2 linked regions of the Drosophila melanogaster genome follow. The gene in region 2 interacts genetically with the main gene of each other region. Each region holds a gene or a part of one and is shown on either strand. Other genes may lie near its edges.

Region 1 (4,295 bases), on a different chromosome or scaffold from region 2:
GATTTTTCTTGACTAATTACAAATAATTTTTAAAATGACAGAATAACTTGAAAACTAAAAGAATAACTAATAATAATAATTCAACTAGAAAATATAAAGAAAAAAAAACAATTAAGCAGAAATGTCCAAGTTACCAAAAGCATCACTTAGTTTGAAGCAGGTAAGCAGGTTTAAATCATTTTTATGGTTTTCCAAATATATTAATAAAACTAACAATAATTGAATGAATTGATTACATTGTAGTTTATGCTGCGCCAGGAAGTACTGAAGCTCTACCGGGAAATATTTCGAACGATTCGTCAGGTTCCCGACAAAAACAGCCAGCTGGAGCTAAAATCCTGGGCACGGCATGACTTCCAGACGAATCGCCATCAAAGTGACGAGGTGGCCATCAAGATGCTCCTTCAGCACGGCAGACGCAGCCTCACAGAACTAAGGACCAGCCTCCAACTGAGCGGGGTGAGCGAGGGCAAATAGGATCAGTCTTGAACATAAATCTTAGCTTAATTTGATTTTATTTTTGAGCTCGACAACCGTACGAAAATAAATACGAGTTAAGACTAAGGACTATGACAAAAAGCTATCGAATCTTTGAGGTGCTACAATTCGCTGTGTTTTTGTGTGTTTCGTGAAGGTGAAATAGCAGTCTAGCGTCTTTGCAGGGAGTTGAACTCCCAGGATCCATTTCAGTTTTCCATTTCAGTTCTTAAAGCAGGGGTCGCAGAAAACTCAACCAGGCCACCTTAAGCAGGGCCAGTGCAAAGAGAAGGGAACCCACGCTGGTGATTATCAACGAGATGATATCTCTCTTGGCATGCTGATCCACTCTGCCCACCAAGAAGCTGTGTATCACGGTGCTGGTAATGTGGGCGCCATCGAAACCAAAGCAGGGAATGGCATTGATCAACGCCAATCCTATGCTGAAGACCACGTTATACTTGAGGAGCAGCAGCCAGGCATCCGGCCAGGCTGCCTTTAATAAGCTATATCTCGGCACAAAGGCGGATACCTCCACAGTTCGAGTGACATCCCATGGATGGCCCACATAGATCACCGGCGGCAGCTTCTCTCCGCGAAAATTCTGTCGCTTGAACGTCATTATGGCAGTGATATTTCGTATAAGCGGTCGTAGGCAGAATCCCTCGTTGCAAACTCCGGACGAGCAGTGCTCGGAGACCTCCTCCAAAGTGCGGCGCACATTGAGACATACATGCTGCGGCAGCTCCACCGGCACATCTCCATTTGCGTCCTCCACCACCTCGAAGCAGCTTACGTTCGGATTTAGTTCATCACAGCACTGTAGCTGACCATCAATGCTATGATGTGAGATGGCGCTGCTTTCGTCGTTAAGCTGCACGAAGTCCGCACTCACACAGTAGCCCGGCTTGAGCTTCAGAGAGTTCTGCAGGCATGTCACCCAACTCTCCTCGCTGTTTACTGGGCAGCCGTTTACTTGGGTTATTTGATTGTCCACTTGCAAGCCGCGCTCTCCCCTCAGCGGGGATTTCCTTGTTAGTTCAGTGACCACTACGTGTTGGTTGTAAGCGTACAAAGGTGACATAGTGATTCCCACCGTTGAGATTAAGAGATAGCACACGCCAGCGAACACAAAATTATGCCAGATTCCAGCGCACAGAACACGTAGCTTGCGGAACCAACGTAGACTGTTTAAGTGGTCGTGGGAGAGCTCCGTGTATGCTAACGGCAGGCAGAAGATGAACTGAAATATTAATATTTACCTAATTAGTAAGCGTATTAGGTTGTAAAGTACGCTATATCATTCTAACCTTTATTCCAAACCCGGTGACAGGCACATCCTCCATCACAGCGGCCAGGGCGTGTCCCATCTCGTGCACCACCAAGCAGAGCACAAGGGTTGTGATGTAGTATCCGATCTCCTCCAACGGCAAGTTGACGCCGGGCAGTAGAATTTCCAGCTGCACAGGGACTCCAACGGGCGAGGATACAGACGAAGAGCTGTCTTGTTCACCACTGCTGAAGATAGTGGCAATGAGCAGGATCAGACCGATCGGGAGCAGAGAAAAGGTGACCAGGACTCCTACATTAAAGCTGGTGATCATTACTCTCCGGGTGCAGCTGTTACCGGCAGATCCCCAGCGTAGGAGGGTCCTGTTAAAGGCACTCGTGTGCCAGTGGAGGCTCATGAAATTTATACTCAGCCCGGTGTTCTTGAGGAAGGCATCGTACGGGTAGTGCATGCAACTCTAAGGGATTACATTAAGTATCTGGACGTACTTTGGCTGGATATACTACACCTTGAAGAAGCGGTCGAAAAAGTAAAGAACGCCATAAAGCGATGCCAGTACTATGAAGAACACGAAGGGATCCATGGCTGGTGAGGTCTCAAGATGTCATTGGTTTGTTGGGATTAGGATGGTGATGCGGATTCTACAGTTGGGGGTCCTCCGGTTGCTGGACGTCACTTGCGAATGCTAGTAGTCCCTACCGGACGGGATTCCTTCCCGAAATCTTACTCCTCTGGTCCCGACTCCTTATACCAGCAATGCTGTGTAGTCCAGACCAGAAATCAGCATTAATCACGTCTGGGAATCTTGTGCGCAAATTAACCTGCGTAAAAAATCGAAATACCAAAAGCTAATCGCAATCGATTGCAGAACTTATCGATGGCCGCTTTATCAATAATACCGATAAGCAAGCTTATTTGGGCGCGAAAGTTTTGAACATTTTCAACTATTCAACGTCAAACAAAGAAAACTGTTGAACAACTCAAAAACAACAATTAAAATTTTTTTATGAAAATGATTTGCTTTCAATATAAAAAAATTCAAAATCCATTGTGTTAAGTGACTTAAAATACATCAAACACATGAGCGAACAGGAATTCTCATATAAGAGACTTTTGCCGACTTGCAGGCTGATCGTCTCCATTATGGCCTGCGTATCCTGTATATCGGGCGTGGCTGCCGGCTATCTTTTCATGACCAGTTTATCAGGTGTCTCTGAAGCGGTAAAGATTGTGTGGACCACCGGATCGGCTCTCTATGCATTATCCTCGCTCCTGTTGATTATTGCAGTTTGGAAGGTTAACCTGAAGCAAAATTAATTGAGGAAATATTCTTAAGAATCCTGTGATTTTGCAGTTCATTAAATGGCTGGCCTATCCATACATGTGCATGCTGCTCATGGCCATTGCCGTCTACACGATGATCCTGCAGTGGCTACTCAAGAACCTACCGGCTGCCGTTTTCTCATCTGTGGCCATCAGCTTTATATTTCTTGGAGTGGCGTTGAACATGACCAAAAGCCTGGAAGAACTACGCACTTCTCTATAGAGCAATGCAAAGTGTTCTCGTTTAGTTTTGGATTTATATTATAAATTTGCCGTGCAGTAATCAAGAGCAACGAATACACCTACTTTGATTAAAATTGAAAAATTATAGGTATATGAAAATCTAGCATGAGAAATTGTAAAGTTACATTTGTTAAATTTGTGTGACTTTAATTCGTAAGGCAATTCGTAATTCATTCATCAGCTGTTTTCAGAAATAAAAGTAGGTGGTTCTGGCAACAGGCGGCCAAAAGAACCTAGCAAAACAAAACGGATGAAAACCAATGGAAAGGAAGAGAGGACCTCTTACTCTTGTTTTTCCTTTTTCCATGCCGAAACTCACCACCACCAAGTTCACCTTAACTGAGTTGGGTTTTCAATGGACCTCCAGAGGACATGAGTATCATCAGTTTAGTCGTGAGCTTGAGCAGCAGCAGAACAGTCGCATCCGCCAAAAAGGGCAACAAACGAAGAGTACTCACGAAAAATAAAAAGGCTTTTGCAAAGGGTTTTCCCAATCAGAGAAAGTGTTCAATAGCTTCAGGCGTATTTTTAACCAATTTAACTCACTGGAAGGATCCAATTCGTTCGATTGTGATTGAGTAAGCTAAGAACAAAGGACTTCAGCTGGAATCTCGCCCCATATCGATTTGTTCCAAAAACTGCATATTCGCCAGCGAGTGAGTGAGAGAGTGCGCTTGTGCCGAAAACGGATACGGAAGGGGGCGACAAGGAAGCGGAAGCGGAAACAGCTGCTGCATAAACAATAGTAACAGGGAATACTGTGTGTCACATCAACGCATCATGACGCCAGAGCAGCAAGGATATTGCCCCTAGGAAAACCCATACAAGTTCCTCAAGGAAGCCCTCAAGAAAAAGCGAACGAAAATCGCAATCGATTCGGAGAACAAACCATCAAGACGAACCCGCAAAGGATTCAGTGCCAAAGGAGCCGTTCCGGCAGAAGCAGCAGTAGCAAGAGAGT
Region 2 (7,416 bases):
GATTCCCTTCCCCTCGAACTCATCCTCCTTTATTTTGTAATCATAAACATCTTGATCGGAACGATTGGCCCATCTGTGCCAGTCCATGATTATTAATGGCATTGGATGAACCGTTTCCAGACGAAAATCAAACGCCGGGTGCCAAAAAATACAAGTGGCATGCGAGTCCGCGAAGAACTGCTGAGCTAACTATATTTTTTAAAAGGTTGTCCATGCTGAACAAAAGGACAACATACCAAAAAAACTAAGCACAGTGCTAAAGTAATATGACTCTACCAGCAAGTTTTCCATTTCACAGATTTTTTCCCTTGAAGTGTGCCTGAGGAATTTATATTATTTTCTGTGTGTATTATTATTATACATATACATTCTGTTTTTGTATATATATATATAGTGCTTGGTAGCTCACCCTGTGATGCACCCGACTAACAAAACTCCGCCGACGCAAAATGACCGACGCGAATGGAAGAATATTTCATTTTATATAAGGAAAAAGATTGCATACGCTACTAATACGTTTTCCATGAATTATGTACATATTTAACAAATTAGGAGCATGCACCGGTAACCAATAAAAGGCCTTGTAAATCTGTTAAAATATTTATTGTTATAAATACGTTTAACAAGTACGGTAAATAATAAACAAATAAAATGTCCATATTAAATAATTTTAAAATTACAATCTAAGCATAACCGGGCGTGGAAAACAGAGGAATAGCGTAATTATAAAGACCTAGGCATTTGTAATTCTTTTGAATAGCAAACGGGTATTCATTTGCTGAAAATCCACACCACGTTCGTGCCACTTATTATGTACTTCACTACTATCCTAAGCCTTCACGCTGCCAATGCCGTTGCCCAGCGACTTCATCAGCTGGTAGCACTCCTTGAGCTTTCGCTTGTCGCCCACCTTCTCCAGGGTCTTGGCCGCCTCGGCTAACATGCCAGCACGTTCACCCGGGGAGCTGAGCAGCGCAGGCGGGAGATACTTGCAGGCCACGTACATGGCCGAAGCCCGTTCCCGCTCTCCGCCCACGAAGTTCTGCTGCCGCCGATCCTTGCTGCCGCAGAAGATGGACGAGTGGGCGTTGCGTGATCGCAGACTCCTGTCCAAGAGCTGTTGCGTTGGACACGGTGAGGCTCCAGCCATCAGGCGACAAACTGCCTCGTACAAATATATGCGCGATTGGGCGTTCTGTAATGGCAAAAGTTTACACAAGCTCAGGTTACGGAACAGACATATTGGAAGGGTAAGGATTTGCATATACCGGTATATTCTCCACAATGTTGCGCAACGAGTTCAAATCGGTCTGGAACTTCTCGAGCACTTCACCTGGCACTTGGTAGAAGCCATCGTCCTCCATATTCATGTGTTCCAGTTCCCACAGAGCAGTCCTAGTTTCGAGCAGCCAATCGCAGGTAAGCAACTGGAAAAGCTGCATAGAAGAAATAATGATTAGTGCGCTCTTAAAACTTGGCGACTTTTGCCAGAGACATTCGGCGTTGTATGTGAAATGCACAGAGCTTGCACTGAAGTTGTATTGCCTGAAGCAATTGGGACAGACAATGCGACTACAATGCACCTTCGTGTCATCTCCAGAGGAAGAGTCTGGTGGCACTCAGTCGCCAAAAACTGATTGTTCGGGGTGCACACATTCTTACCAGCTTTATACCCTTGGCGTCGGTGATCCGGTTGACAGTCAAGCACTCTTGGAGCTCCACACTCGACTCATCGCAGAGGATGTTTACCAATTGCTTGAGACTTTTGTCCAGTGCGTTGCCATTGTTTCTGCAAAGGTGTGCGATGATTAGTTTTGTTCTTTTCATTAGTTGTTCTAGTTTTACTCACTTTAGTAAGATCATCTTAGCTCGCAGCACAGCATGCAGCGCCTTGGGCAGATGATCGTTTTCGCCGCACTGTTGCAGCTGCGTGGGCATTTGCTTGATCCTGCCGTACAATTGCTCGGCCAGCGTGTCTTCACCAAGGAGCCAGTGCACTGCGGTCTCCAAAACATCGGCCCACCACACCACGTTTGTATCCCGCTCATCCTCATCAGCCCAGAGAGTGTCCTTAAGGAGGGACGTGTACTTAAGAACATTGCTGACAATGGTGCCGCTGTGCTGCTGTTGCTGCAACTGTTCCGCCTCTCCGCTGACAGAAGATGTGGGCAGGCCTCCCGATTTGTGGCCCGCTCCTACCAGACACTGAATGGCTTTAAACAGCAAATGCTCTCGATATTGCTGATTATTGGAAAAGAAACAATTAGTTTTGAATTGTGTGCGATACACTAGAAATTCAGTCCAACTTACCTTAATGACGTGGGCAGCGGGATCACATGGATTCCTAAGACGTGTGAAGAATCCATCCTGCTCGCCGGAGTCGCTCAGATCGTACGTGAAGACGTGCGTGGCGCAGTAGCGATATCCATAGGCTGTGAATGCCCAACGTAGCTCCTGCGTTTGCTCGGTGGCCCTAGTGAGACCGCACTCTTGACGAGCCCGGCTCATGTAGTATCGGGCGAAGAGCTGTTGCAACCATTTTGGGGCACTGCGCTTCATTCGCAACGCTGTCATTACGTGGATGCAGATGGTCTCGCGCGGTGTCAGTAGATTGTGCGCCACTTCAGCCATGTTGCTTGCGAATAGTGCCATCATAATGCCGTTCATGTCACCGCGGCTTCCATTTCCAGTCAGTTGCAATTGATTCAGTCGGTTGAAGAGCAGGGCCAGTTCGCGTGCAGATGCCAGCGCCTGTTTCCTGCTGGCGGCGTTGCTAAACAGCCCACCGGACCGCCGTGACAGCACCCGACCCAGCCAGAGGCGATGGAAAAGAAAACGAAGGAACTGCCACGTGGTCTGCAAGTAACACTCCAAGCGCGACGCCGGTAGACTTAATCCAAACATATGCAGACAGTTGAGGTAACCGGCGTAGGCCTGAGACGACTGTCCTTGGCTAAAATAGAAGTCAGCCCGCTGCCTGTGCTGGCAGTAGGCGTCCGTTTGCGCGTCCAGCTGCGGATCACCGTAAACCAGCAATTTCACCAAGCATCCAAGCATCAGTGTGAAGTTCAATAGCCATATCCAGGAACTCTGCTGCCAGACAGCAAAACCTTCACCTAAATCAAGGAGAAACCCATTAGCAATATTTAACAACATCTGGATGCTAGGCTAGCTACCTTCCACGTCGTAAGAGAGAATGCGTCTTTGACCGCTCATGTCGCCAAGATCGTCATTACTGTCATAGTGGCCGCGCTGGAGAAAGGTCTTGAAGGGATTGACGGCCAGGATGGCGAACATAAACATGCAGAGTCCGAGGCGAGAGTGGGTGGCCATGCCGCGCATAGAGCTGGGCACCACCAGTGGTTCTTCATTGCTGCTGCTGCTGCCACTGCTACAGCTGGCGGTGGATCCACCATAGGGTGATGGCGGCAACGAGATGTCCGAGTGCATGGGCGAGAGCGAAGGATCCGATTCATCGCTGCGTGGCGGCGTCAGTCCGGCATCCGTGGTAAAGGTCTGCGAGCTCTCGCGGCGCTTCTTGGATGCTCTACCAGGCCGAGTGCCCAGCTGAAGTAAATCCTTCACCTTGGAGCCGTCGCGTGCCATTAGCTCCCTCTGCAGGCGCTGCAACTCTGCCTTCAGATCGTGATTCTGGCGTTGCAGATCCCGAATCTTGTCTATGGATTTCCGCAACACTGCGGACTTGTTCAGCTTGGCCTGCTCTCCCACTACCAAGTTCTTCAACTCGTTAATCTTGTCGTTGATTGAGGTGCGATAGCGCCGCTCGATGGCGTTGTGGGCCGAGCGCTTTACTTCCTTCACCTTGGGTTGAACCCGGTTGATAGGTACCTTGCCCTGGACTTCCATAGCGGCAGGTGACGGAGCCAGTGGTGCCACTCGCACCTTGCTGGCCCGACTACCTGTGCTTGTCGGTGGTGGAGCCACAGGTGGAGATGGGGTTGGACTGGCTACCGTGGGCTGCAAGAGGAAGTACATGGCTTCATCGGAAGTCATTCCGGCCTTAGAGTTGTACGTAATGAAGGGTTGCGGATACGACTGCTGGGGCAAAGGAGCAGAAGCGGGAGCAGGAGTTGCAGCAACGGGCTGCATGACATTGACATTCTGGTTCGCAGACTCCACCGGCGACGTGGGCGGGGACATGGACTGGTAGACAAAGCTACTGCCCAGAGATGGGGGATACACCGCCGTGTTCGGCGGCATCCGCTGGGCGTCCATGTGATGTATGGTGGCTGTTGGTTGGGCGGCCTTCAAAAGGCCCGTCGGCTGTTGCTGGGGACAATTGTAGCTTGTGGCTATGAGGGGATCTGGTTTGTAGACGAGAAGCGGCGACTGTTGTTGCTGCTGATGCAGTTCCTCCTTGATGTGCACTGGCGAAGAGTGCTCGCTTTTCACGTGCGGCTGTTGCTCGACGGATTGCGGCTGCTGATCCACGGACTGCGTCTGCTGGGTATGCGTTCGAGGCTCGTCCAGCAGCATGTTGTACATCTGCGTCGGCGCCAGGTCCATGTCGTTGAGGATGATGTCCAGCATGTCCGAGTGCAGGTCGGCGTCGAACGGTTCGAAGACATCCTCCGCTTTGAACAAATCCATGGACTCGTCCAGCGGAGCGTCTATTAAGTTCATCAGTGTCGTGTCCATTGCGAATGCTGCTGATGAAAGGGACAAAAACGGTTCGTAATTAAATACTGGCGGGCCCACGTATGTGCATATTTATGTATGTATGTTTGTACATTTGAGGATTGTTTATTAAAGTTCTATGCGGCGCAATAACAACAGTGGGACAAGTATGTTGGTGCCGGAAAAAACAAATATTAATATGTTTATAATCACATTAATTCATTTAATTACCCTTTTTCCACAGTGGCCACTTGCAGCTTTAATAACAGATTAAAAGGGGTTTTTATAATTAAATTTGTAATATACGTAACAAAGTTAAAATAAATCTTTTAATTGTACTCAAACCTAAAGTGAATCACAGTCGGACCTGAAAATGGCATATGTGTTAACTTGTTTTTGTTTGTTTGTTGTTTGCTCGTAGTTAAAATAGGAACAAAATATAATATCTTGAGATCATTTTGGCTATATCAAGTTTTGCTAGACTAATGCAAATTGCAATAGAGGCGAATATTTTTAAACGGTCTAAGCTTTTACTTCGCTTTTGGCCCACTGTGCACTGCACACACACATACGCGACCGGGAAAGCATGCGTAAGCGCTTTCAACCAATCAGAGGGCTCGACCGGATCATACGATGTTTTTAGTGACGCCACTTGGCCTTTGGGAGCTCCAACAGGGCATTTTCCCAGGCTCCACTGGTTTCCCGATCTGATTTCCGCGAAAATTAATCTATTAGACACTATCTACATTATTAGCAGAAAAAGAAACGCACCTTTACCACCTTCTATCTGTTTTCTTAGTTCACGTGTGCTTTTGTTTTTCCATAACTGGTTAATGTCAACGCACTTTGCTTTAAACTAGCGACTAGTTAGTAATAGTTGCAACACTTGTTGTTCATGGTTGTTTTGATTTTTTTCACGAGTATATTTGCAGCTTAATAAACAATTGCTTTCGATTGCAGTAAACTTTGTTCTTCAGGGATGACGAGCAGTAGTTCGGGCCTAAGGAACTGGTTCAGGTCTTGACTCCCTGGCATCAAGAAACAGCTGTATTACTTACAATGCCTGTATAGAAATATATATATTTAATAGTTTATGATGTATTTTATAAAACTGCCATAAAATATCAACGCTGATTCTGACACGCAGAGTAAGGAAATAAATTCAACATGTATAAGTGTAATTTAAAATATGCGGTTGTCCTCGCTGAGCGTGGTGGATGTCACCGCTACCTACATTCAAGAGAATAATTAAGAGAGCGCCAGAGCCGTGTGACCGCGCTAGAATTACTTAAAAATACCAAGGAATGTTGAAGACAAAAAGTTCCGGTAAATTGGCACAACGCACTGGCCACACTGCTACATCACATATTCAAAATCGGGTAGGTAGTCGCGACGGAAAACGGGAAACGCGGACGAATCGCGGAGCCAGAGAAGCGGTAAATTCGAAATAACCGTTTGGAAAGAGCAACATGATGAGGTTCTTTATTCGTTTTTAGTAAAATGGTACAAAGTGAATATGTGATTTAATTGATAACCAGCATGGGCGCCGTCAGTGTTAATTGCGTTCTGAATTGCTCTTTCGAAAACGCAGACACAAATGCACACACACAAAGTAGCGGCACCCACACGATCGCAATGGCAAAAGTGCTGCAGTGATAAAACAAATGCACAGCCATAAAGGCAAAGTCGGAAAAGTTTCACAATGCACTGGCGGCCCATGCATAAAAATGTACAATTTGGCGCTCTTTGCACTTGTCACGTCGTTGGAAAAGCAAAAAAACCTACCAACCAACAACAATAGGAACATAAACTGAAACAAAAAGAAAACCATTTTTGCTTCGCGCTTTTGTTTTTGTTTGGACCGCCGCTCACGCACTTTCGCGCTCACACGCAGAAACTTTTTGCATTTGTTTTCTTCACCCGTTGCATTATCACAACAACTGATCTCCTCTGCCCTCTCTCTGATGCTCTTGCTCACACTTGTTCGCTCTGTCTCGCCAGGGTTGCCATTTTCGACCGACAAACTTGCACTTGCTACTATGAATAACCTTTAAAACGGTTTTATTTTGGCACAATCTTAGGATTTATTTACGATTTTTGCGATTTACCGCATTTGCTGTCTGCAACAGTTTACATTTTTGTTTACCTTTACGGTCGCCAATTGGAAATACTAACTGCAAATTTGGTTGCCTTAAGTGTAGGTGTATTGTTTTCAATATAGACGAAGCTTATTTATATCAAATGCCTATTATTTAAATTAAACTGAAAACATTCAACCAACGGTCATCAGGAAAAGTATCTTAAGAGGACTATTTCACTACTAAATCCTATTTTTTATATTTCTACTTCACCTTAGCTTATCAAAATCTTTATAAATCCGATTGTATGTATGATGCAGCATAATTTTATTATTCTCGGTAATATATGGATATGCTTCAAATCCAAATATACAGACTTTATTTATTCAATAAATTAGTTTAACCTAATGTTAAACTAAATATAAAATAACTAAAATTAGTTTAACCTAATGTTAAACTAAATATATTACCGAACGCTGTGATTATGACTCTGTTATTTACCAACTGTCTTGCAACTTGGAAATATTCCTGTATTAATCATTTCCTATTTTCCTTGATACAAAAGAGCCTTTATTTCACTGCAATATTGAGTCATCCAACAAGCTGTTGTTGTAGATTTGGTCCGATTTTTCTATTTCTTCTTCTGACTGTTCTCATACTCTCTGTGCTTCTGTTTCTCCGGCTTTCTGCATAAATTACA

The links. A genetic interaction does not mean that the proteins touch.
Region 1: of SREBP (region 2) and S2P, changing one enhances a phenotype caused by changing the other (phenotypic enhancement), as found in Drosophila melanogaster (one study listed by BioGRID).

What each region holds. Positions count from the first base shown.
Region 1 is NT_033778.4:11,841,603-11,845,897, forward strand, and holds S2P (site-2 protease), read right to left. Parts: upstream 2,639-4,295; 5' UTR 2,352-2,638; coding exon 2,277-2,351; intron 2,226-2,276; coding exon 1,788-2,225; intron 1,721-1,787; coding exon 707-1,720; 3' UTR 501-706; downstream 1-500. Other genes in the region: CG34229 (uncharacterized protein), read left to right, coding at 122-160, 244-477; CG43190 (uncharacterized protein), read left to right, coding at 2,912-3,064, 3,123-3,314.
Region 2 is NT_037436.4:19,792,153-19,799,568, reverse strand, and holds SREBP (sterol regulatory element binding protein), read right to left. Parts: upstream 5,635-7,416; 5' UTR 5,410-5,634; intron 5,346-5,409; exon of another isoform or gene 5,244-5,345; intron 5,006-5,243; 5' UTR 4,870-5,005; intron 4,671-4,869; exon of another isoform or gene 4,668-4,670; 5' UTR 4,660-4,667; coding exon 3,177-4,659; intron 3,117-3,176; coding exon 2,311-3,116; intron 2,242-2,310; coding exon 1,850-2,241; intron 1,790-1,849; coding exon 1,663-1,789; intron 1,609-1,662; exon of another isoform or gene 1,510-1,608; intron 1,437-1,509; coding exon 1,269-1,436; intron 1,196-1,268; coding exon 830-1,195; 3' UTR 590-829; downstream 1-589. Other genes in the region: Ir76a (ionotropic receptor 76a), read right to left, coding at 1-185, 237-291.